3 linked regions of the Struthio camelus genome follow. The protein of the gene in region 1 interacts with the protein of each later gene in a pairwise test. Links are inferred from orthologs where the notes say so. Each region holds a gene or a part of one and is shown on either strand. Other genes may lie near its edges.

Region 1 (7,068 bases):
CTGGTAAAACTAAAACGCTGACTGTAAGAATGCGTCCTTTGTTCCAGAGCTTGCTCTGTCGATGAGAGCTCTTGGTAGGTGACCAAATTAATATTGCAGCTTTCTTGTCCACACTTCTTTTGCTGACTTGGCTGCTCTAATCAGATTCAGTAATGGGTCAGGGAAGGGTTTGCACCTGACCATGTGGTTTCTGGCACATCTAATTTGCTACAGAATGGTTTCCAGTCCTACAAGGAACAAATATTCCATGAACCAGCTTATTCCAGATGTTCCAAGAGTGACTGAAAGTGCAGGAAAAAGCAAGCCAGACTTTATTTTGGCTTCCATGCAGCAAAGTGACTCCAGTTGCTCACAAACTGTGCTGAATCTGAGCTCAAGCACATGCTTTTAGCAGTCACAGAGGGGACTTAATGCAGCTTCTCCAGCACCATGCTAGATCTGGCCTTGGACTTCTTCTTCTCCCCGGAAGATGTAAATAGGCTCTAAAATTCCCATGGGATTTTCAGGCCTTCCTTATGTCACTTTGTTACTGGGACCAAATTTCACCCAACGTAAAGCCAAGGGGGACAGAACCCCCTGAACTTCATTGGTGGTGAAAGGAAGGGCACAATGTTGCCTAGGTGGAAGATATCATGAAGTAATTCTCAATTGTTTAGTCATTATTTTTAGGTAATTAGTTACAGGCCTACACCTGCAGGGTGCTCACTGCCTTAAACAACCTGTTACCTCTGATTGCTCACCTGAGCAAAGTTCACAAACAGGTACCTGCTTGTGAGGCCAGCAGCATCCTCAGCTGACTTTTCACATGTTCTTAAAGTGGCAAATCATAGGTATTACCCAAGCCAGTTCTGCTCTCCATCGGGGTTAAATAACCTCCCGCCGGGTAAATAAGGACTTCCAGAGTGGGCCTTTGCTCACCCAAAAGGCAGACTGGGACCATTTATGCCTTCATCTGTTTTGCATGATGCCTGCATAGTGCCAAGGCGACACCCGGCTCTTTGCAGACAGTCCCTTTGCCTTTCAGAACTGCCCGGCGTGGGAAGCAAAGCCCGCTGGCACACGGCCAAGCATCCAGAAGCTGCCTCAACTTTCACAGGTTTCCATTTTGGGACCGCACAGCTCAAGACACCATGAGCTGGTTTTTTTTTTTCTTCCTCCAGAGCTTTTGATGGTAACTGGAGTTTTCCTCTTGGAGGCCCAAGAGGCCCTTAAACAAGGTAATCAGTGATAAAAATACACATAAAAACAATCCCAAGGCATTTGAAGGTAGGTGCCTTCTGAAGAGCCTGGCCCTTCTGAATGGAAAGTGTATGCTTGCCCTTTGCACCTCCCAAAGCATTTTCACTTCTCCTGTGCAAGGAAGCTCTCTGTATAGGGATGTCAGCAGAGCAGAAGTAGTCATGTATTTGTTAGAATAAATAAGGCCTGAACTCGGGAGCTGCTGAACAGCCTCGTTTCTGAGTGATTTCAGCAAGCTCTGGGGCTTTCCAGGACTGGGTTGTAGAGGGGGAAATCAGAGCTCGGAAATCACCTTCCTGGATGCAGCTTCTTTCACTGCTTGGAGGTGCTCTCCCTTGCTTTTGCTGTGCTTAACTCCAGCCCACCTCACTCAGCATTTCCCTGGGCAGGTTTCAGGCCATCTCTCCCACTTTAAAGGGTAAATATTTTTTTACAGTTCCCGTACAGTTGCAAGGTGAAGAACATTTTCTGGGCATGAATCATTTATGAAGCCCTCCCAGGCACACCAGCCATTGTGCATATTCATCAGGCAGCCGGTACATTATTCATGAGATGTTCACTTAAACAGGAAGAGAACAATGATATTGTTGATTGAGATGCCTGAAAATGAGCTTGATAAAGAAGGTTCTGCCCTCAAACTCTGACCAAAATGCAGATAGAAAGTTTAGCAAAAAATCAGGAAAGAAAGGGGGGTTGGTTTTCTTTTTTTTTTTGGGCTCCTTTTATTGCAATCCATATGGATTTTTTTAAACTCATTTCCAAGAAGGAAGACTTTACACATAGAAACTACTAGGGAATTGCATCATACCTTCTCCATACACAGCTCCAGACTTGTGACTGCACCTTCTGCTGGTGGATCTTGGGCAGGGGATCGTGACAACAGGTCTGTACATAGCAGCTGATCCATACCTCGCTGAAGAGCTTTACTTTTGCTCCTGTTATGTCTGAAGTCCCACGATGACAGCATGATCCAAACCCTATCGAGCAATCTGCAACAGATTTTTATAACAGTATTTAGACCCTAAGCTCATACCAAAGTCCTTAAAGGACAGGCTACAATTGGGGAAGTCTCTTAAGGTTAGATCACAAGCGCTGATTCAGCTGACAGGTGCTCAGGGCAAACGCACCAAGGGGGTGGGAACTGCCCACTTCTGCAAAAGTGGGCCTAATTTCAAGGCAAGAGGGTGCTTGAACCAAAGACCTGTTATTTCCATAAATGTACTGCTGTGCTATTGCTGGATGAAGGGGAGCAGCAGGGCCGAAGCCCAAGAAACGCACTCTTCCTCCTGCATCTTTACCTTCAACTTCTTAGCAACGTTTTGGCTACGTTCATGGCGAGAAGGGCACATTACAGTCTCTCCAGGAAGGAGCCTGTTCTTTAACGCAGGCAAGAGGCGCTCTGTGCCCTCCCCACGCGCTGGGGGAGGGCACACCAACGCCGATGGGTCCCATTGCAGGATGCTGCCGTCCGAAAGGAAGGTCTCTGGGGCAGCTGTGGGCTCACTGCCACAGGGAAGCAGAAAATGGGGTCTGAGGAAGGACTTGGGGTCTTTAACAACAGCCCCAAGCATACGGTTTAGAAGAACTAACATAACCTGGAGCTCAGGTTGCAGTAACCAACAAAGCCCTCACTGTGCTAACGAGCAGCTCTGCCCACTGATGCTTCACACAGTCCTTAAAGGCTTAATTAAGCTTAACAATATTTGGAGGTTACCAACCATTTCCATTGATCTTTTATGCATGAACTCGAAGGTGGCTTCTTGAGTTGCGTCTAATCCCAGAGGAAGCAGGGAGAGCGCCAGGGGCTCTTCCCCCTCCGTTTCCTCGGTGCCACCCCAGCCCTGCGAAGGCTCTTGCTGGACAGCGCAGGCAGCTGGGCCAGGCTGGGTCCTGCCAGGGACCCCTCAGTGCCCCTAGGCCCTGCAAAGGGACCTCCCTCACCCCCACACCCTGCTTAGGGACCCCCCCCTCCCACCCCCAGACCCTGCCTGAGACCCCCACCATTACTCTAGGCCCTACCTGGGGATCCCTCCCTCCTTGCTAGGCCCTGCTTTGGAGTCCCCCTTCCCTCAGGGCCTGCTTGGGGACCTCACAACTACTCTAGGCCCTGCTTGGAGACCCCTCCCTGTACATGAGGCCCTTCTTAGGGTGCTCCCCCTCCCAACCCTTGGGCCTGCCTGGGGATACCCCTCCCTACTAGCTCTTGATTCAGGGTCCCCTATCCCCCAGGTCCTCTTCAGGGGGCACCAAAACTACTTTAGGCCCCACCTGGCTCCATACTAGGCCCTGTTTAGGGCCCCCCCCTTTGCCCTGGGGCCTGAACTGAGGACCCCAAAACTACTCTGGGCCCTGCCTAGGGAACCTCTCCCTCCCTGCTAGGCCCTGTGTAGGCTCTCCCCTCACCTATGGGGCCTGGCTGCCCCCCCCCCATGCTTTTAGGACCTAGTTAGAGGCCTCTCTCCCCCCCCAACCCCTATTTGGGGCCCCCCTACTACTCTAGGCCCTACCTGCCCCCCCCCCCCCAACTGCTCTTAGCCCCTTATAGGCCACTCAGGCCCCAGGCCCCTGCTCTTAGACCCTGCCTGGGGCCTTCTCCCTCTCTCCAGGCCCCACTCAGGCCGACTGCTTTTAGGGGCGCCACCCCCCGCCCAGGGGGCGGTGCTCCGCCGAGCACCGCCCCCTCGCCCCGAAGCCGACGGCCCCTTTAAGAGCACAGGCCCCGCCCCTCGTGCGTGATGACGCAGAGGCGCAGCGCGGCGCTAGCGCCCGCCCCCGCCTCCCCCCCGGCCCCGCCCCCTTCCCTCCCTCCCCCCGCGCGGGCCCTGCCCCCTCCCTCAGCGCCGCAGTGACAACAAGGAGGAAGCGCGCGGCAGAGCGGGCAGAGCGGGAGCCGCCGCCGCCACCGCCGCCGCCACCGCCAGCGCCGCCCCGGCCTCCCCCCGCCGCCGCCGCCGCCGCCGCCATGAACAGCAAAGGCAAGGCCCCGGCAGCGCGAGGCCCCGCCCCCCGCCCGGACGCGGGGGCCCCGCCGCGACGCGCCCACCTTCCCCCCCCCCCCCCCGGGCATCGACTCGACTCCCGGCAGGTCCTCGCCCTCCCCCCGCCCCCCCCGCCCCGGCCCGCTCCGGGGCGCGGCGCCTTTAAGGGCCGCGCCGCAGCGCGTGACGCCGCGGCCGGGCCGGGGCTGCGCGGGCGCCGCTCGGCCAATGGGAGCGAGGGGTGGGCGCGCGCGCGGGTCGCCATGGCGCCGCGCGCCTCGGCCCGGCCCTTAACCCTGTGGCTGCCGCGCGCCTCGGGCGGGGCGGGGCGAGGCGGGACCCCGCCCCCCGCGGGTGACGTGTGCGTAGGGAGCGGAGTCCCCCCTCCCCCCGCCCCGGTCACGTGGGAGGGGGGAGCTGCGGTAGGGGGACCCCCCCCGATGACGTAGCGGCGATCCCCCCCGGATGACGTCAGGGGGACCCCATTAGGCGTCGGGGGGAGCTGGAGTGGGGGACCCCCCCCGGATGACGTCAGAGAGACCCCATTATATGTTGATGTGGAACTGGAGCAGAGGGACCCCCGAGGTGACAGAGGGGACCCCCGATGATGTAAGAGGACCCACTGGGGGCAGGGGGACCCCCTGGGTGACAGAGGGGACCCCCGATGATGTAAGGTGACCCTATTGGGGGCAGGGGGACCCCCTGGATGACATAGGGGCCTCTGATGATTTAAGGGGACCCCACTGGGGGCAGGGGGACCCCCTAGGTGGCATAGGGGGACCCTCAATGATATAAGGGGACCCCCCTGGGTGACATAGGGGACCCCCAATGATGTAAGGTGACCCTATTGGGGGCAGGGGGACCCCCTGGATGACATAGGGACCTCTTAATGATGTAAGGTGACCCCATTGGGGAGGGGGGGCCTGGAGCAGGGGGACCCCCTGAGTGACATAGGGGAACCTATGATGATGTAAGGGGCCCCATTGGGGGCAGGGGGACCCCCTGGGTGACATAAAGTCCTCCTGATGATGACCCCGTTGGGGGCAGGGGGCTGGAGCAGGGGGACCCCCTGGGTGACCTAGGGGACCCTGCAATGATGTAGGGGGAGCTGGTGTAGCAGGATCCCCTGGATGACATAAGGGACCCCCGGATGAGGTAAGAGGCCCCCATTGGGTTTAGGGGATGCAGGAATGGGACCCCCCCCCCAAATGATATAGGGGACCCCCCGGTGACAGGGGGGATCATTCTGGTGATGGGGGGCTCCCCCTGGGGGGGAACCCACTGGGGTAGGGGAGACCCCCCCCCCACCTACCATGCAAAGGGGTGACCCCTCACCCTCGGGGGACAGCATAGGGAGCGGGACCCCCCCCGGGGTGGGGGGGCACCCGCGGGACCCCCCCCCCGGCCGGCTCCCGCAGGACGCGGCGGCGAAAGGGCGCTGCTAAGCGCTCCGGCCCAACCTGACTCACGCTCCCGAGGCGCCTTCCAAGTCTCCGCTCCTGCGAGGGAGCCGAGATGTCCGCAGGGCCGCGCTTCGGCCCTGGCCTGACCGTGCCACGGCAAAGCTCCCCGCTCGCCCCTTCCTCCCTCCCTGCACCCAAACGCACGCACAGGGGTTTTTTTTTTTTTTGCTTTTTTGTTTGTTTGTTTGTTTTTTTCGCTCCCAACCGCTGTGCCGGCTTGGGGAGAAGAACGCCTTCGGAGCTCGGACCGTAGCACCAGTTGCTCTTTGAACCGTGTTGGCAACCTCCGGATGCGACAGAGCAATTAAATGCAATTCCCTAACAGTCTTCACTTAAAGATTAACTCTGTTCTGAAACCGCTTAGGTTGGCAGGTGAAAGACATGTCACGGAGACATGATCTTTGTTCTGCTCCAGCTTAAAAGGCCCAGGGGTGGCAGGTATCGTCTCCGCGTCAGATCTGGTTTGTTTTGCTGGCAGTACAAAGCGCGTTGCACCCTTTCTCTTCAGTACGAGCCAAACGCAGCACTTGTTTCTCGGGATGGGAGGCAGACGGAGGGACGGGTCTTGCGTTATAAAACGTTAAGATCGCCAAGAGATGCTCCCTGGAAGCCTCGCTGGTGGCGACGCGCTAGGAGCTTCAAAGAGAAACCCGATCTCGGGGCGGTGTCGTTCCCGCATCGCCCCAAATCTGAGGCTGCGAGTCGACTGGAGAGTTCGCGAGTCCGAGCGCGAGCGGCGACCGGGGACGACGCCGTTGGGTTGACTCCCTTCGCCAGGCTTCCTGCCCTTTTCGGGAGCCTGATTCCTGGAAAGGATTTTCACTCTCCGTTTGGCTATTAGGCCCCGACTGAAACGCCTCTAATTCATTGTGTGCAGACGCTCCTAGATCCGTTACTCTGCTCACGTGAGAATTGAAAAGAGGGGCTTTCCGCAAACTCAGCAGTTTCCTGCCCAGCTTCGCGGAGCGTTTTCTGACTCTGGCTGAATTCTTTTCTTCCTTGCAGGACAATATCCCACCCAGCCGTCCTACCCGGTCCAGTCTCCGGGCAATCCTCCCGTGTACCCACAGACTATGGCCCTTCCTCAGCCGCCGCCATACACGGACGCACCTCCTGCTTATTCTGAGGTACGCAGGATCCTTCTCCTAAGGTTTATTTTATTCTGGGGCCCCTCCAAAAGAGAAAACTCTTCCAGGAGGTTTTTAGCTGCAGGGATTTTCTTAGCCTGGAAGATTTGTTTGCTGTTCGTATCGCTGGGCAGCAGTCGGTCCCCACAGTCTCTCGCATGAGACCCGAATCATCCACTTGAAGCGACAAACACTGTTCAGCTTCCCCTTGAGTTAAGATGACAAATTTAGCCAACCTGTAGATTTAAAATACATCTAAGT
Region 2 (7,264 bases), on another chromosome or scaffold:
TTTTTTCATGTAGGTACTTAGCACAAATAGAACCTAACAGCCAATATACTAATTGGGATGTTTTGTTTTGTCTTAATTAAAGTATATGTTAAGATGTACAGCCATGACTTATATAATCCATATCTCCAAGTGTGCAGACTCTGCCCTCAGGATGCAACACCCTCTTTAATGGAAGGTAAGTACTAAACTGTGGGGGGGGGGTTGTTGTTGTTGTTGTTAAACAAAGAAGCTGATACTCATGAAGTTCAAAGCATTGAATCAGCTGTTATTCAAAACCTGATAATATTTCTTTTTATACTTAAGTATTAAACGTAAAACTGTGGCTCTGCCCAAAAGAAAGCAACCAGAAGAAAGCCACAATATTATCTTGATGAAGTCAACTAAGAACTAACTCATGATTCTACACATCATCAGGGTGGGTCCCTAGGAAACTGAAACCCTTAAAAGGCCCTCTCCTTCTTGCTCTTCTCCCATATGCCTCAAACCCTACTGCCCCCTACTCCATTTTTAAATGCAGCTCCAATACCAGAATTCAATACAACAGTTTAATATTAAACAGCCTTCTCTATTCAAAACTTATCTGACTAAACTTTGAGCAAACCCAGAAGGAATAATAAACTGGAGGACTTGGTTTTCTTTGCCTTCATCATCTTAACTACATGAGGTATCCTGCTGAAAAATAAGTAATCCCTGCCTTACTGCCAACTTGATCCTCCTTCCCAAATAGCGTTACATAAATCCTCCCCATCAGCTTTTTATGATTTCCTTTACCTGAACTATTGCCCTGGAGATGAACCATTGTATGGGTGTACAGTTCCAAAGAAGCTAGCAGGTATGAAAAAGGTTCCATGCATATCTTTGTAGAATTAGGTCCACATACTGCAAAGTCTTCCAGAAAAGGAATACACCTCTCCACCGGCTTGTAAAGCATCAGGTAAACAATTTTAAAAAGATACTAATAAGACTAGCTACAAGTATAAACAGTATATTGTCCTTCCTTCTATTCTCCACAAGCTGTACTTGAGGTAACAGCTGTTGGCTGCTTCTTCCAGGATCTGCAGTTGTCACTGTCTCTAAGTAGTGCTGGCTCACCGAGTATCCCAGACAGTGTTTCTTGCTCCATGCCAGAAACCTAGCATATCAGAGTCTGCTTCAGGGATGAGACTCACACAGCTTTGCCCAGCCAAAAACAACTCAGCTCAACACCCGATCCAGTCCTCAGATTCCTCTGTTAGAATTACCTGATAGCTGACAAACACAACTTTGCCTACTAGTGACCGAACAACGCATGGTGGAGTCCAGATATCTAGCAACCCGAATAAAAAGAATTCAAGCTATGGCTCTCCTTCATCTACATTTAATCAGCCCCTCTAAAATAGATCTCACATTCTCCTGCGCATGTACTATGCACTTAATTTGTTTGTTATTCCACACAAGTGCTAACTACACATCCAAACAATACACAAGCAAGCACCACGTTCAGTTCCTCTTCCGTGAAACTTTAAAAGGACATCTAATCCGTACCTAGACGTTCCCCCCTCTTTCAGTAGCACAAATGTCTTACGAAGAACTTGCTAATGCTACGAGGGACTACAAACTCTCTATTCAGGTGTTCGTTATATTCAGATTCAAACTTTTTATGCCTGCACAGCACTGTGTTAGCCCATAATAGAATCAAGCGTCTTAAATAAAAGCATAGTTCCCTGTCTATTTGTCAAAGTATTACAGCCCAGAACATAATTCTATAGGTTAAAAACATACCCACAAATAAAGCCATCTGATGGCCACTGAAATTAATGTTGCGTTGTTCCCTCCCACTCCCCCCAAAAAAGAAAAGTTAAGAGCAAAAGAGTTGCTTCTGCTGGGAAGTAATTTCACATTATATTTACCCTCCCTCTCTTGGAGAGAATTTTTTAAACAGTTACCCTGTTACAGACACAGTCACTGGAAGGGTTAATTTCCTTCTACCCACAGTTCTTCATGATGTCAATACAGTCTGAATGCAACTGAATCAGCCATAGCAATACCACATGTCCTATGCTTTTTCCCAATCCACTCATATTTCTAGAGTCTCTGTTCAGCTGAATGTGTTCTTTCAGACTTGTATCTTCATTTACATGCCAGTTCCTGGTATTATCTCATTGTAGCTTTAAAGCTGATAAGCCGTAAGGCACCTTATACAGCGGAGAATATGAAAAGTTTCTCTTCAATTTGGACCACAAAGAAATTACAGTCCTTTAGACTGCTTCATGATTTAAGTGATCTGCAGCTAATGCAGATCAGAAAAAAACATTTTGGGGGAAGCATTTTTTCAAAAAACACAATAGTTTTATTAAACACTCTCAGCTTAGGGAAAATAGATTGGTTAAAATTAATCTTTTCTGTTCACAGGTTAGCCTTTACCCAGAAAGTCTTCTGATCTGCTTCATCATGCAATTCTACCAGTGTAAGAGAGGAGGAAGCAGGCAAGCTGGGGAGGAGAGCAGGGCTGTTCCTTCCATAGCAGTGTTAGCTTTCACTGATTTGAAGTACTCAGTAACAGCCAAACACTTGGAAACACATGAGACACTGCAAGAGACAGACTACCAGTCTGGACAGAAAATTGGCCTGATTCAATACAACAGGTTGTTTTGTTAGTTAAATCAAAGCTGAGGCTTTGATAAAACACACACTCCCCCAAACACAAACCTACACAAATGCACATATAGGCAAAAATCTAAATTCTGCTTAAGTCAATAAAGGTTCTTCTATTCCTTGCAGCTGGAATTTCTCACAAGATTTTCTGGCTTTGAGAGAACTACTGTGTCAAAAATGTACTGAAGATAATAGCTTATTAAGATGTAAGACAATTGTCTGAAGTAGTTTGGCTTATATTTAATCTAAATCTAATCACTCTGCCTTTGCTGAAACACTTACCAATTCTCTCCTACCAAGATATTGGAACTTTTGATCTCTATTACCTTCTTCTGTAAAAAGTCCTCTACAGCACATCTGTAAGGATGACAGTAGAAGCTGGTACCTGAAACAGAACTGAAACTTAATCACTAAAAAAAAAAAAAAAGGTGCAAATAAGCTGATCTTTAAAATAAAAATATACTGAAATATTGACGTTTATAGAATGCACTTCCAGTCTAAAACAGCACCATAAATATCAAAATGGAGTTTTAATGAAAAATACTACAATAATCACTTGTTGACGTTACATTTTATGAGACAACAGAAGAAACAAACAAAAAACCCAAAGACATAGAACACCCATAAGTTTTACAAAGTAACTGTCACCTTTGCTGTTCAAACCCGTCACTGAAATCACCAGTACAAATAAAAAAATAAAGAGCTTAACATAATAAAGTGATTTTCAGTTACAGAATCTGTTAAAACACATACTTCTCATCAGGAGCCTGAAAACTTTGCATCAACTGAGGAAAAGGATGATAATAAGCCAGTTTGAGTCTCTAATCTACATGGCAGAAATTTTACTAGATGACCTCTTTCGGGAAAGATGAAAGACTGAAACGAAGAGCTGGACCCTGAAGGAAGCCACAGTTATAATCACAGGCAAATACTGTTGCTGTTGCTTACCAGCAGTATCAAGGTAATGCAAAGAGGCACGTTTGCCTGAGTGTCTGAGGCAGAACCTGATTTCACTCATGACATTTTACCCAAACATACCTCTTTGAAATTGGTGTTTTTATCTAATACATATACTAAAGTGCTCTCAATTTCTGGCTGTCAAGACAAGTCAGGAATCTTAACCTGTCATTGTGTCAGAGTATATGAGATAAAGTATAAATAATAATATATATTTAAAATAAAGAATATATCACAAATCAGCATCAGAATACCTAATGCAATGGAAATTTATGAACATTACAGAAGGACCAGATTACTTCTAATTTATGCAAGCATAACAAACTAGATTTTCATTTACAGTTTTGGAAGTGACAATGTGAAAGCATCTCAAAAGTTACTGCCAAGGGAGCATCAAGGTCCCTGAGGTGAAATAAGGGATGACAGAAAAGAGCACCAACGATCACAACGTGTTCTTAAAGGATCCAGCCTAATCTCAGCTGGAATCTCAAATTATTTCAGAGCCCCATTTGTACGATCAGATCACAATATAACATTCTAGATCACATTTTTTCCTCAGGCCTATATTTGTAAGGATCTTTGACAGTTTCAGTTTGGCTCGCTGACAATTTTCAGAATTCATATGATTTCAGCCTTGTAATTTGCTGGAAAGCCTAAAAATAATAGAACACTGGCCCTGTTTTTAGACAATGATTTATCTACTTCGAAGGTGAGGGAGAGACAACAGAGGGGAAAAAAAAAAGAAAAAAAAAATCTGTGCTTGACAGCAGCAAAGGGCCCGATCAAAACACCATGTCCTAAATTGAAAGTTGTCTGTCGAGTCCATCAGGCTCTGGGGCTAGTCCTTATATTCCTCCAGAACAAGGCAACAATACTAATTTAACCCATAAGCCATGTATCTAAAACACAACCTCAGGTAAAATTCATTTCTTACTCTACAGAACACACCTCTAGCATCTGCAGACACTCGATTTGTATAGCACTCTCAACTTCTACGTTTTTCAGCAGGAACAATGCTGTTTACAGGGCAGTACACTTGCATTTGTATTTGTACCCAGAGAATTAACCTGTAAAAATAGCACATTAATTATGCACACATTAATTTCAAATATGCTTTCTGCTTAGAAAATCTGAGCAAACATGCAATGTAAACATCTTCATCTCTTCAAAGTCAAATTCTGGCTAGCTCCTTCATATACTTTGCAAAATAGAACTGCATCTCAGTTTGTATTTTTCTTAAACTCAGATCTGAAGTTTCTCTGTCCTCGGCGTGCAGATAGTAGATCTCACAATGTCAGACCCAGGTGAGATTCCCAAGCTGTCCAAAGGAAGCATGCATATTTTCCATAGTTTATATCTTCTGGCAACTGTGTATCTACTTTCAACTGTGTATGGTTCAACATGGTTTACAAAAAGTAAACAAAGCAAGCGGCAGTTGTTTGGTTGACCTAGAGCAGGGGGCAAAAAAGTCCTATGTTACCTCAGGAAGAAAAATATTTTTCTGGAAATCATGCAGTAATACTGTTTTCCAAACTTTTATTCCTCATCTATAAAGTAATTAGTTTCTCAACCATTATTCAGACATTATCATAATCCACAGAATATTTTTCCCCTCCTTGCACACAATGTAGAAAAAAATATTTAAAATGGTTTGTTTAAAGTTATCAAATACAAGGAGTGCTTTTTCCATTCTAAAAATCTTTGTGATGTTACTGTCCACTTCTTAACGCAGAATGCACAGTAAGGTCAGAGCTGAATAAGGTAAGGTGCCTTTTCAAATTCCTTTTTGAAGCTGGCTGATCACAGAACTTGACTTCTATGTTGCCGTCGCTGAATGCCTCCCTCCTGGCCTCATCTGAGTCAGTGGGATCTCTTAGAGAAGCACTTGCCTTTTGCTGCCTCATAGTAATCCCCAAGTTCCCGAGTTGCCTGGCTGGTGATGTGTTTTCTTTGACAACGCAGAAGCAGATGGCAGACAAAAAATTTTTCTTGAAGTTTTCATTCATAAAAGCATACACAATAGGGTTGCAAATAGAATTGAAAAATCCTATAATTTGGACAATAGCAAAGATCATTTTGACTGTCACATCATCATACTCCTTTTCAAAGTCACCTGGAAATGAAAAAGGAAATATGCTGTAGGTATAGAATGGTATAAATACCCATTACTAAGCCCATTTACACCCAATCTGGCATTAGAAGCTTTTGTCTAGTAACCTCCAGCAAGGTGCTTTCTTGGTAATTTTAGCAATAGGATTTCACTAGCCAGCAAAGATCAAGACCTACCACATAGCCCTGCTTTTGTATATATGTAGGGAAGAACAGTGTAGTCTGAAGGACACAACTCGTGAGCAAAAAAACAAATGAACAAATAAACAACTTGTCCAATGGCCAAGTGACAGAAAGCTTCCAGTCTGCTGAGTGTAGGCTCTGACTCTGCGTCTCACATTCATGAGAAATTTTCAAGTACTCTACCACGATAACACTAATCCCCGTCTTTTCACTGACCATATGCAGCTTCTTTCTTTGTGCTGATACAGACGAGTTCATAGAGTAAAAATGCATCTTCCTGGTGATAGCTCACATTTTAATTACTTGATATCACAGAATTCTCTGAATTTCTTGAATTCAAATACTTGGCTAAGCAGCTTTGGAAGACACTGCACAAGGGTTTATATGGCAAGTTAAACAAGGCCTTGTAGCAGTGGAAACAATCCCTGAAATTAACAGTGGAAAGAGAGTGAAGTGTTACACAGAACAGTTCAGGGCAATCTCAATAGGGGGCAATCCAGATAATTTTTGAAAGTTACAGCTTAAGCATTTCTGGCTCTGCCCAGGCACAAACACCACTTGCTTCAGCTGACTGGCTGTAGCACTACTGACTTATCTGCTATGCCCTTTTCCGCAACAGAGAGAAAAGAGATTAACTGTTGCGTTTGGCAAGTAGAGCACAACTGGTACTGAATAATTCAGTGTTCCTACACACGGCAAACTGCACAGTCCCACCTGCTATCACTGCACCTACACAGGAGGAGGGAGACACAGTGCCCTCTCCCCACCCCCTCCACAAAGTCTAGCACAGTTTATAGCAAGACACAGATCTTTAGTGCTACAGCAGGGAAGAGAAGACGGGGCTGATACAAGGATTTCTCAGATATATTACGCTCTCAAACACTACAGCTAATAAGAGGTTTTTGAAATGTACTTACGTTTTCTGTGAGCACTGTAGATCTGTCTGTCACTCATAGACTTCAGAGTAATTCATCTGCTGTTGATTATGTATCTCTATTACAAGACAGTGATCCAGGATTTATAAGCACAACGTTAACCTTTGCTAGCAGAAGGTACATTATAGCTGAATGCTGCAGCAGCACTAGCATTTCACAATCTGTGGTTCCATTATTGCAAAAAAACCTAAAAAAGACTTTATTGCATGACACATGGCAGATACTCACTGTATTCTATCATCATATGAATCACATGGAAAGGGGCCCAGCAGACTGCAAAGAGAAACACCACTGTCACCATCATAACAATTGCTCGCTTCTTCTTCCTGAAATTGCATCAAGACATTTTATACTGAATCATTAAGTTACATAAGTTAACATAACTTTCATTAAGTTAAATCTGTAAGTATGTTGTAATGGATGCAGACACAAACAACCCCCTGAGA
Region 3 (7,600 bases), on another chromosome or scaffold:
GTTCCGCTTACCAGAACGCCAGTGAAATATGAAGAATTACAGCTGCACCCTTCGATAAACCTGGGAAAGTAGAGACAGAAATAAATCATATGATTTATTTAAGAGAAAGGCCCAGAATCATCATCTTTCTCCCACAAAGACACACAGACTTCTCTGTGGAATCTGGTTTAGAAACTATTGTGATACACAGCCCAGAAGAGGAACAAAGCTTTTACAAAGTTCGGCTCCCATGTTATCAGAAAAGTCGCTGAAGAGTTAAGATTACTTTTAATAAAAATATTTGCTGCTTCTGCTTGCTGCTTTCACCTTGACTCCTTTTGCTGCCTCCAATTCAGTTGCCAAGAGTAACAAACAATACCAGCAACACTCTGCTCTTCTCGCAGATAATCAATAAAGCTTGTGAAACAATAAAATATTCTGAAGAACCAAAAGGAGGAGGAATGAAAGCTCATTTTTTTCCAGTCCTTGTATTATGCAATATCTTCCTCGGGCAGGCTATTACAGGAGGGGAAATTCCCATCTGCTGAAACTTACGGTCAAGAAAACATAGGCAGACAACAGGCAGACTGGTTGCTTTAGAAATGTGCTGGTTTCAGCTGCCTCAGCGACACAAAGCCATGCAAGACCAATAATTTGAAGTCTACAGTTTCATCTAGCAGACAGTTTAGTGAAAAGAGACTTTACAAACAGGTCGGTCTTCCTAGTTCTAGCAGCAATTTTTCAATAAACATGGGGAACACCTGCCCCCAGCTGAAGTGCGCGTGGGCAGGCAAGGAGGGTGGAGAGAGCAGAGCCTCGCTGACGCTGACCCACTAACGGGCTGCTTAAAGAGCTGCTGCAGGTGCTTCACTGCAGGGCTACGCATGAGAGCAGATACCAGGAAAATCCTAAATGCTCTGTTCAGTTTTGCCCTTTTCTGACCGAAATTCACACAATAATTCATAGCTCTGAGTCCACTATCTTGAAGAGAACATAGGCAAGAGAAATATATCCTCTTTTCCCTGGAGGAGGGGACATAGCAGGCAAAAGCAGAAGTGATTTTGCTAGCAAGAAGGAAGCATTGAGGGCTCTGGGGACAATTGATGCAAAGCAGCTGTCTGTTAACTACAATTATGAAATATGGCCTCTGAATCTTGTGAGGCCTCCCTGCTTCCTCCGCTACGCCTACAAAATGAGATTGAGAAGGGCAGCAACTTCCAGCGTAAGCTGCAAAGCTAACTGTCATGAAAAACACCAATTTAACCCTGCAGTGTGACTTCCGACTTCAATTACTGCAGTGCAGAAAGGAAACTAAAGAAACCACACATACGCAGCCCTCCAACTGTCAAGGACAGCGGTTCAGCTGCAGGTCAGCAAGCTGTCGTCAATCCAAGACCCACATGCTTCATATGCTGTGCTACTTACAGGAGAAAGAAACTAAAATCAAGAAGTCTCATTTCCTCATATCCCTCTACGCGTTAGGTATCCAGGGCTAGTATTGCCATTTCTTCCTCCTCATCCATAAGAGTTCCTAAACTCTTCTCTTTGCTCTCAGAATCTGCACTCATTTCCATAGACAGCCTAAAACCTTTCACTTAACACTAGCATAGCTGGCCAGTTCCTTATCTTCCTGGCCTGGCAGAATTGTTATTCAAAGGGGCAACACAGAAGTAACCATTAGATGGATGCAGATGCCCAGAGCACGGTGCTCTTCCCCATCCAGTGGGGGTTGAGCCTAGGCACCTAAAAACAGCCAAAAACTTTTGGAAAGGAAGCGGAGGAAATACCATCTCTAAAGGAAATCATAACAGAACAGTTCCAGTTTACAGAATAGTAAGGAAATAACGTTCCTAGACTGTCCCCCCTTCCCCCTGTTTTTTTTTTCCTTTCTTTTTAAGGAATGGCAGACTCTTTCTCAGTTGTTTTCTCATTTTCAGAGCTGCATGACACTGCTTCAGTTTCTAGATCTCTCTTATCCTGTTGCATGTCAGTAGATATGTGGTAATTAGCAGAGAAATTAGGTATGTCTTCATGAAGTTAACTACAGAGCTTCCACTCCGTTATCAAAAAAAGCACATTGGTTTCATTTATGACGAACAGTTACCGTTCTCATTCAAGTCACTAAAACAGTACCACGAGCATATGAACGTAAGCTGCACAAGTACAAACGTCACGCTCAGTCATTTAAATACCAACACAGGGCCATTCCCGAGAAGGTTCACGACTGGGAGAACACACTTACAGAGCCAAATAGCTGTAAGGCACTTCTTTTCGTCACACCCATCACATTAGCCATTGGATTTTATTTAACCTTGACTGCTTGTGAAACAACATCTTAGAAATCAAGTTAATCTAACAAAACAGATATTTGTTTGTTAAATTTAACAAACAGTTTCCAAGAAGGAACAAAACGAACTATAAGTTGATATAAAGTTATTTTGTTCTGGTGCAGCGAGGTACCCCCTCCCCTCACAAAGACATCTCCCCCAAAACCTGGGGGTCACAACACCCGAGAGCAGGGAAAAAACCCACCCGGCAGCAGATCACGCAGAGGCCGGGGCACGCAGGCTGCCAGCGGCGAGGGCCGATCTCGGAGGGGGCTGGCAGGCGCCCGGCGCAACAGCCGTACCGCAGTCCGACTCGCAGCGCAGCCTGGCACGGCGCTCGCTAGGCAAGCCTCCGCATAAGCTCCTCTTTGCGAACCACAGTGTTATTTTGACAGCTCTGGCAAGTAACCGTTGCTAAGGAGACGCGTTTTTAGCTTCACTCTCAGTCACCGACTAGCAAACATCAAACCCCTTTTGCAGCCTACCTAACCATTAAGCAGTGCTGGGAGGAAACGAGGAGAGACAACTCAGAGGACCGCCTAGAAGGCGACACACACGGTACACAGATCCTTACGTTCTCAGCCAAAATACCCGTCCCCGAGGAAGAGGAGCCGCTCTCCCGCCGCCCTCACCCCGAGCGAGCCGCCACGCCGCACCAACCCCGGCTCGAGCCGCCCAGCGCCGCGGCCCGGTCCGGCCCTAAGAGGCAGCCGCGGCGGGCGGGGGGGCCGGGCGGTGCCGGGCCGCCCCGAGCCGCCCCGAGGGGGCCGCCCCGCCGAGCCGCGGCAGCGGGCGGGGAGCGGCCCGTTCTCCCCCTGCCAGTATGAAATCATATTTACGAGCGACTTTCGACCGAGCACTGCCCGCAGATTTCCGCCTAGTCCTCCTCCGTCATCTCCCCCCGCTGCAAACAGCTCCGACATCCCTGGCGGCACTGGGAGCCCCACGAAGAGACGCCGTCGCCTCATTCAGCTGCCGTCTTCGACTGTCTCATGGCAGCGGGACATAGGGTCAAGCATTTAAGTGATGAGCAGTGTTTCTTGCAAGGTTTTCTTGCGGTTTAAGGTGGTAACGTCACTGCTAACTCCGTATAACTTCTAAAATTCAGATCACTACGGTATTTCGTGGAGGAGGTATGGGGAGTCAAACTTGCCCATGTAAATATTAACTTTTATATGTACTATCAAATGATTATTCACCATAAAGGATAATCCTAAGCAAATATCTCAGCCTTCCTATAATCTTTACACTATCACCTTCTCCTGTGTGAAAAGCAGCTTCCCGTACAATCTAAACATTCGCTAACAACACCTGGTTTCTTGAAAACACGTGACAATAGAAGAAAAAACCTTTGATTGGTACTTCCGCTGATGCCCTGTTTCTGAAAGATTTTCTGAAAACAGGTCAGCTGAGGAAATGATTGCCTTATTTTTTATTTTGATGTCTGATACTACATAATATTTCTTTTTAATATAAGGGTATTAACTGGAGAAATAAAGATGCAGTACAACGGATTCATATTCTTAAAGAAACACTGTCTTTAAGTCTGAAAAGGTCCAAACTTTCTAAAAGTTTCTATAACTTCTAAAGCTGCTTTATTTTGAAAACATCTGCCTCTAAAAGGCTACCTTGGGAGTGAGTCTTACAAAAAGGGACAATTTCATGTTGCTATGCAGACATACGTGATGTGAGAACTGGAATTAGGACTGGAGACACCTATTCATTTCTTCACTTTTTTGATAATAAATTTAACCTTACAACCTCAAATCCAAGAAGGACCCACAACATGTCTGCCTTCCAAACTGTGTACAAATACAGTCTGCAGGTGGTCCCAAATTTACTGCACTTTCCTGCTTCCACATAGGCTCTACAGAGCTACTCACCATCCTTAATCTATAATAGAGTGGACCGATATAGTGATGAAGGGAACAGGGAGCCCTGAGAAGAAAGTCAGCAAAGACTCTCAGTAGGCCTCTCACCTGTGCAACTAGGGTTTTTGTCCCAGGAGAGGATTGCTCTGCAACCGTCACACACTGCTATGTTTTGCACTCTACCACCTAAAAGCAAAGGCTCATCAAGGTTTCTGTTAAGTAAAATTTACCATACTTTTCAAGACGACAGGCATAAAGTTACATTTCACAGAAGTACCTCATTTGTTGGTAGATTTGTTGTTGGATCATGGGAAATGCTAAACCCTTCCCTTACAGCTCAGTTTTTTATGAAGAGAGTTACTTTACTAATAAAATATGTTTTGCATTCAAAATATTTTCAGGTTAAAGATTATCAGAGATGCAATCAACATCAACATTACATAGATTAGTGATGAATCTAAAACGGAAATGCCTGATTTTATAAGGGTCATCGTAGACTCATGCAATGCTTATTCCTGATAATCACAAAATGTTCCTGGGTTACAGAGAAAGTAATATAACACTCAAGAGGATTGCCTTGCAGAGAGATTTCTTTAAATGTCACTTTTTAGAATTTATCTTGTATAAAAGCAGGATTCTCTGAAATGAGAATCCTCATTTCAGAGACTAACAAGATATTTTCTTAAATTTTAAATTTAATAGTGAATTCTTCTGCTAGTTTCTTCAATGATTTTGATCAAAAAAAGCTATTAGGCACTTCTGAATTGCTGTTCAAACGCTTAAAAGTCATGCCTTTTATTCTTCAGAACTCTTGGATATTGTTACATGCATTCATTTACCTGTATCAGGTGCAGGTAAAAAACTAAGGAGATACATTATGCAAACCTTATTTTCAGGACAGCAGAATTATAAAATAGAGCAAAGAATAGTTCTGTTCTGTCAATAAGGGTCTAAATATGGCATCTACAGTAGCAAAACACACTTCTGATGTTTCCATCTGCGGGCTGTTGCTATCCCTTTCTTTCATTATCCATTCCCACTACACAAGGCTTAGGACTGCTTTCAGACAAGCTCTATTATCTATGAAGATCATCCTGTCTGATGGATTAGTAGAAACAAAAAAGCGTGATGTTTTCACAAGAAATAAAAAGCCTGCTCCTTCTGTATTAAGGACTAGCTAGCTAATTCTTAAAATACATTGATCAAAATGTCAAGGACTTCATAGAGTGTAGCATGACTCTGAAACATGAAGTATTTCATACCACATTAAATATAAGCCCATCACCTAGGTAGTGCAAAAAATGAAATTATCTTCACCAGATCCCACACCTTTGAATATCTCTGCAGCAAAGGTACTGCCATTCACCTTGGATCACATTGTATCTATATACCTTGAAGTTACAGATGAAGAGAATTCAGGGCTTAAAGGTTCTAGAGCATGAATTAGACACTTACAGTAAGAAAGCAAGCACCAATCAAGACAGCTTCTCCAAGAAAGATGGGGGCACAGTAGCTGTCAGGATTTGACTCTAATAAAATACAGACATAATTAAAAACGCTGGGTATTTTTCAGTAGCTTTAACAATTTGAATATTAACAATTCCAATTAACTAAGGAAAATGAAAGCTATAAAACATTCTTTTAGACTAATAATTTATCCAGTTGAACATCTTTAAACCCCTGTTTTTGCCTTAACGATGAGGTAGACTCATTTGGCATTTAACTGTGCACCATTTCAAGTTTTCTGTTGAGATTTTCAGATGGAAGACATCAATTAGTGTGTCCAACTGCACAGCTCTCAGCATGAAAATTCTTGAAGATCCAGCGTCAATCAGTCTAGGCTTTTCTTTAGGCATTATTACTCAAATATATTCAAAATTCTAAATTGATTCATAGCTATCCCAGATTTGACATTAGATTTGTGCCTACCGGCGTCCAGTCTTTACAAATGTTGTGTAGACAGTGTATGTGGAGGACATTGAGGGGAACATGATCTTAGGTGTCTTCTCTGTCTAAGTGTTCAAATCATTAAGGCCTTGGGTACCTTGGGTACACAAGGCAGGTCAAAATGTTCCGTCAAAGTGGATGAAGGTCACCTAAAGTAATTCAGAGGGGAAAAAAAAATCAATACCCTAAAATTATGGCTACAGTCTCTGTGTCTTGTGATAAGTCAAAATGAAAACCTAATTTGCGGAATCTTTAAAGATAGTGGACAGCGAGAAAAGTAACTGTTGCAAGAACAGCAGCAGCAAAGCTGTGCGAAAGGTCTTTGCACTGGTATCTTTTCTCCTCTAAACTTTCATGAAGAGGAGTAATAAGAATACGTATAAGAACTTAGGGGAAAAAAATTGTTTGCCTGCTGCAAAATACATTCTTTGCTATACATTTGTGTATTTTGATTTCATAACTGTTTCAAAGCCAGTAATATCTGAAAAACGAGACACTACTCAATTGCTCATTGTGTCCCAGAAATGAAAACAGAAACAGTAGAGAGAGATCAACAAAGTCCCAAATTTACAAATACAGATATGTTTTCTTGAAAAATTTATAATCAGCTAGAAGGAACACTTCTTCTATAACACTTCTATTCTCTAAACATAACCTTGTAACTGTTTGCAATTCTTTAAATTTAAAGTAGACTACTGAGTATTTTATCTGTCCTTCAAAAAATTGAACCATTTGATACCAAGAATTTGGCTAACTCTTCTGAGGAGGCCTTGCAGATAGCTGAGAGAGATGGTTCCAGCAAAAAAGAAAAAAAAAAGTGAAAAGAGGTATAGAAATACTATCTCTAGAAACTAGCAATATAAAATCACAGTCAGAGCAAAAGGGGCAACTGGGAGCAAAGAAATTAAGAAATAAAGGTAAATAAGTAGGTCATATCTGAGTTATCAGTAGTATGAAGGAAAGAAAAAGAAACTTTAAAAGGAGGCACTTTATGGGATGGTGAGAAGAGACTATATGGTCAGGAACTGCCCCCCCACAAGCCAATCTGCTGTTGAAACCATCATTTTGTGAAACCACATTATCAAGTATTAAACAGTAGCTCTTATGAAAATGCCCTACTGAAACGTAGATAAACCTGACGTGTCATTGCTCTCCACTTTGCAACATACCTTTGGCTGTCCTTCAGCGTGCGGTACTACAGCGTGCCCCGCTGACTAGCTAGTACATTGTGCTATCCATAATTTAGGATAAACTTTGGGATCCTGCGATCCATTTAAATTCCTCAAATATAAAAATGAAGGTGGTATGTAAACATTCACTAGCATCGTCTTTTATCACAAATTTAAGAAAACGTACTACCTGTTTTCAGTATCCTAACCCAGGAGGGCTGTTGAGCACGAGAGGGGGGCAGCCAGCGCCTAATGGGACTCCTGACAGGTAGCCCTGAAAGACAAAATTACCTTGTCTTAAGGAAAG

Evidence for each region.
Region 2: the proteins of DAZAP2 (region 1) and TNIP3 interact in binary tests that used the Homo sapiens proteins (3 or more experiments, as listed by UniProt). The two-hybrid records come from large-scale screens. The link is inferred for Struthio camelus from reciprocal best matches to the Homo sapiens genes DAZAP2 and TNIP3.
Region 3: the proteins of DAZAP2 (region 1) and phospholipid scramblase 1 interact in binary tests that used the Homo sapiens proteins (3 or more experiments, as listed by UniProt). The two-hybrid records come from large-scale screens. The link is inferred for Struthio camelus from reciprocal best matches to the Homo sapiens genes DAZAP2 and PLSCR1.

Annotation. Positions count from the first base shown.
Region 1 is NC_090969.1:2,097,701-2,104,768, reverse strand, and holds the start of DAZAP2 (DAZ-associated protein 2), read left to right. Parts: upstream 1-4,061; 5' UTR 4,062-4,201; coding exon 4,202-4,214; intron 4,215-6,685; coding exon 6,686-6,807; intron 6,808-6,816; exon of another isoform or gene 6,817-7,043; intron 7,044-7,068. UniProt on the Homo sapiens protein: In unstressed cells, promotes SIAH1-mediated polyubiquitination and degradation of the serine/threonine-protein kinase HIPK2, probably by acting as a loading factor that potentiates complex formation between HIPK2 and ubiquitin ligase SIAH1.
Region 2 is NC_090945.1:19,789,603-19,796,866, reverse strand, and holds the start of TNIP3 (TNFAIP3-interacting protein 3), read right to left. Parts: upstream 3,020-7,264; 5' UTR 2,917-3,019; intron 1-2,916. Other genes in the region: QRFPR (pyroglutamylated RF-amide peptide receptor), read right to left, coding at 5,301-5,704, 7,047-7,144. UniProt on the Homo sapiens protein: Binds to zinc finger protein TNFAIP3 and inhibits NF-kappa-B activation induced by tumor necrosis factor, Toll-like receptor 4 (TLR4), interleukin-1 and 12-O-tetradecanoylphorbol-13-acetate.
Region 3 is NC_090950.1:16,852,188-16,859,787, forward strand, and holds the start of phospholipid scramblase 1, read right to left. Parts: upstream 3,020-7,600; 5' UTR 2,881-3,019; exon of another isoform or gene 2,512-2,880; intron 2,423-2,511; exon of another isoform or gene 535-2,422; intron 61-534; 5' UTR 12-60; intron 1-11. UniProt on the Homo sapiens protein: Catalyzes calcium-induced ATP-independent rapid bidirectional and non-specific movement of phospholipids (lipid scrambling or lipid flip-flop) between the inner and outer leaflet of the plasma membrane resulting in collapse of the phospholipid asymmetry which leads to phosphatidylserine externalization on the cell surface.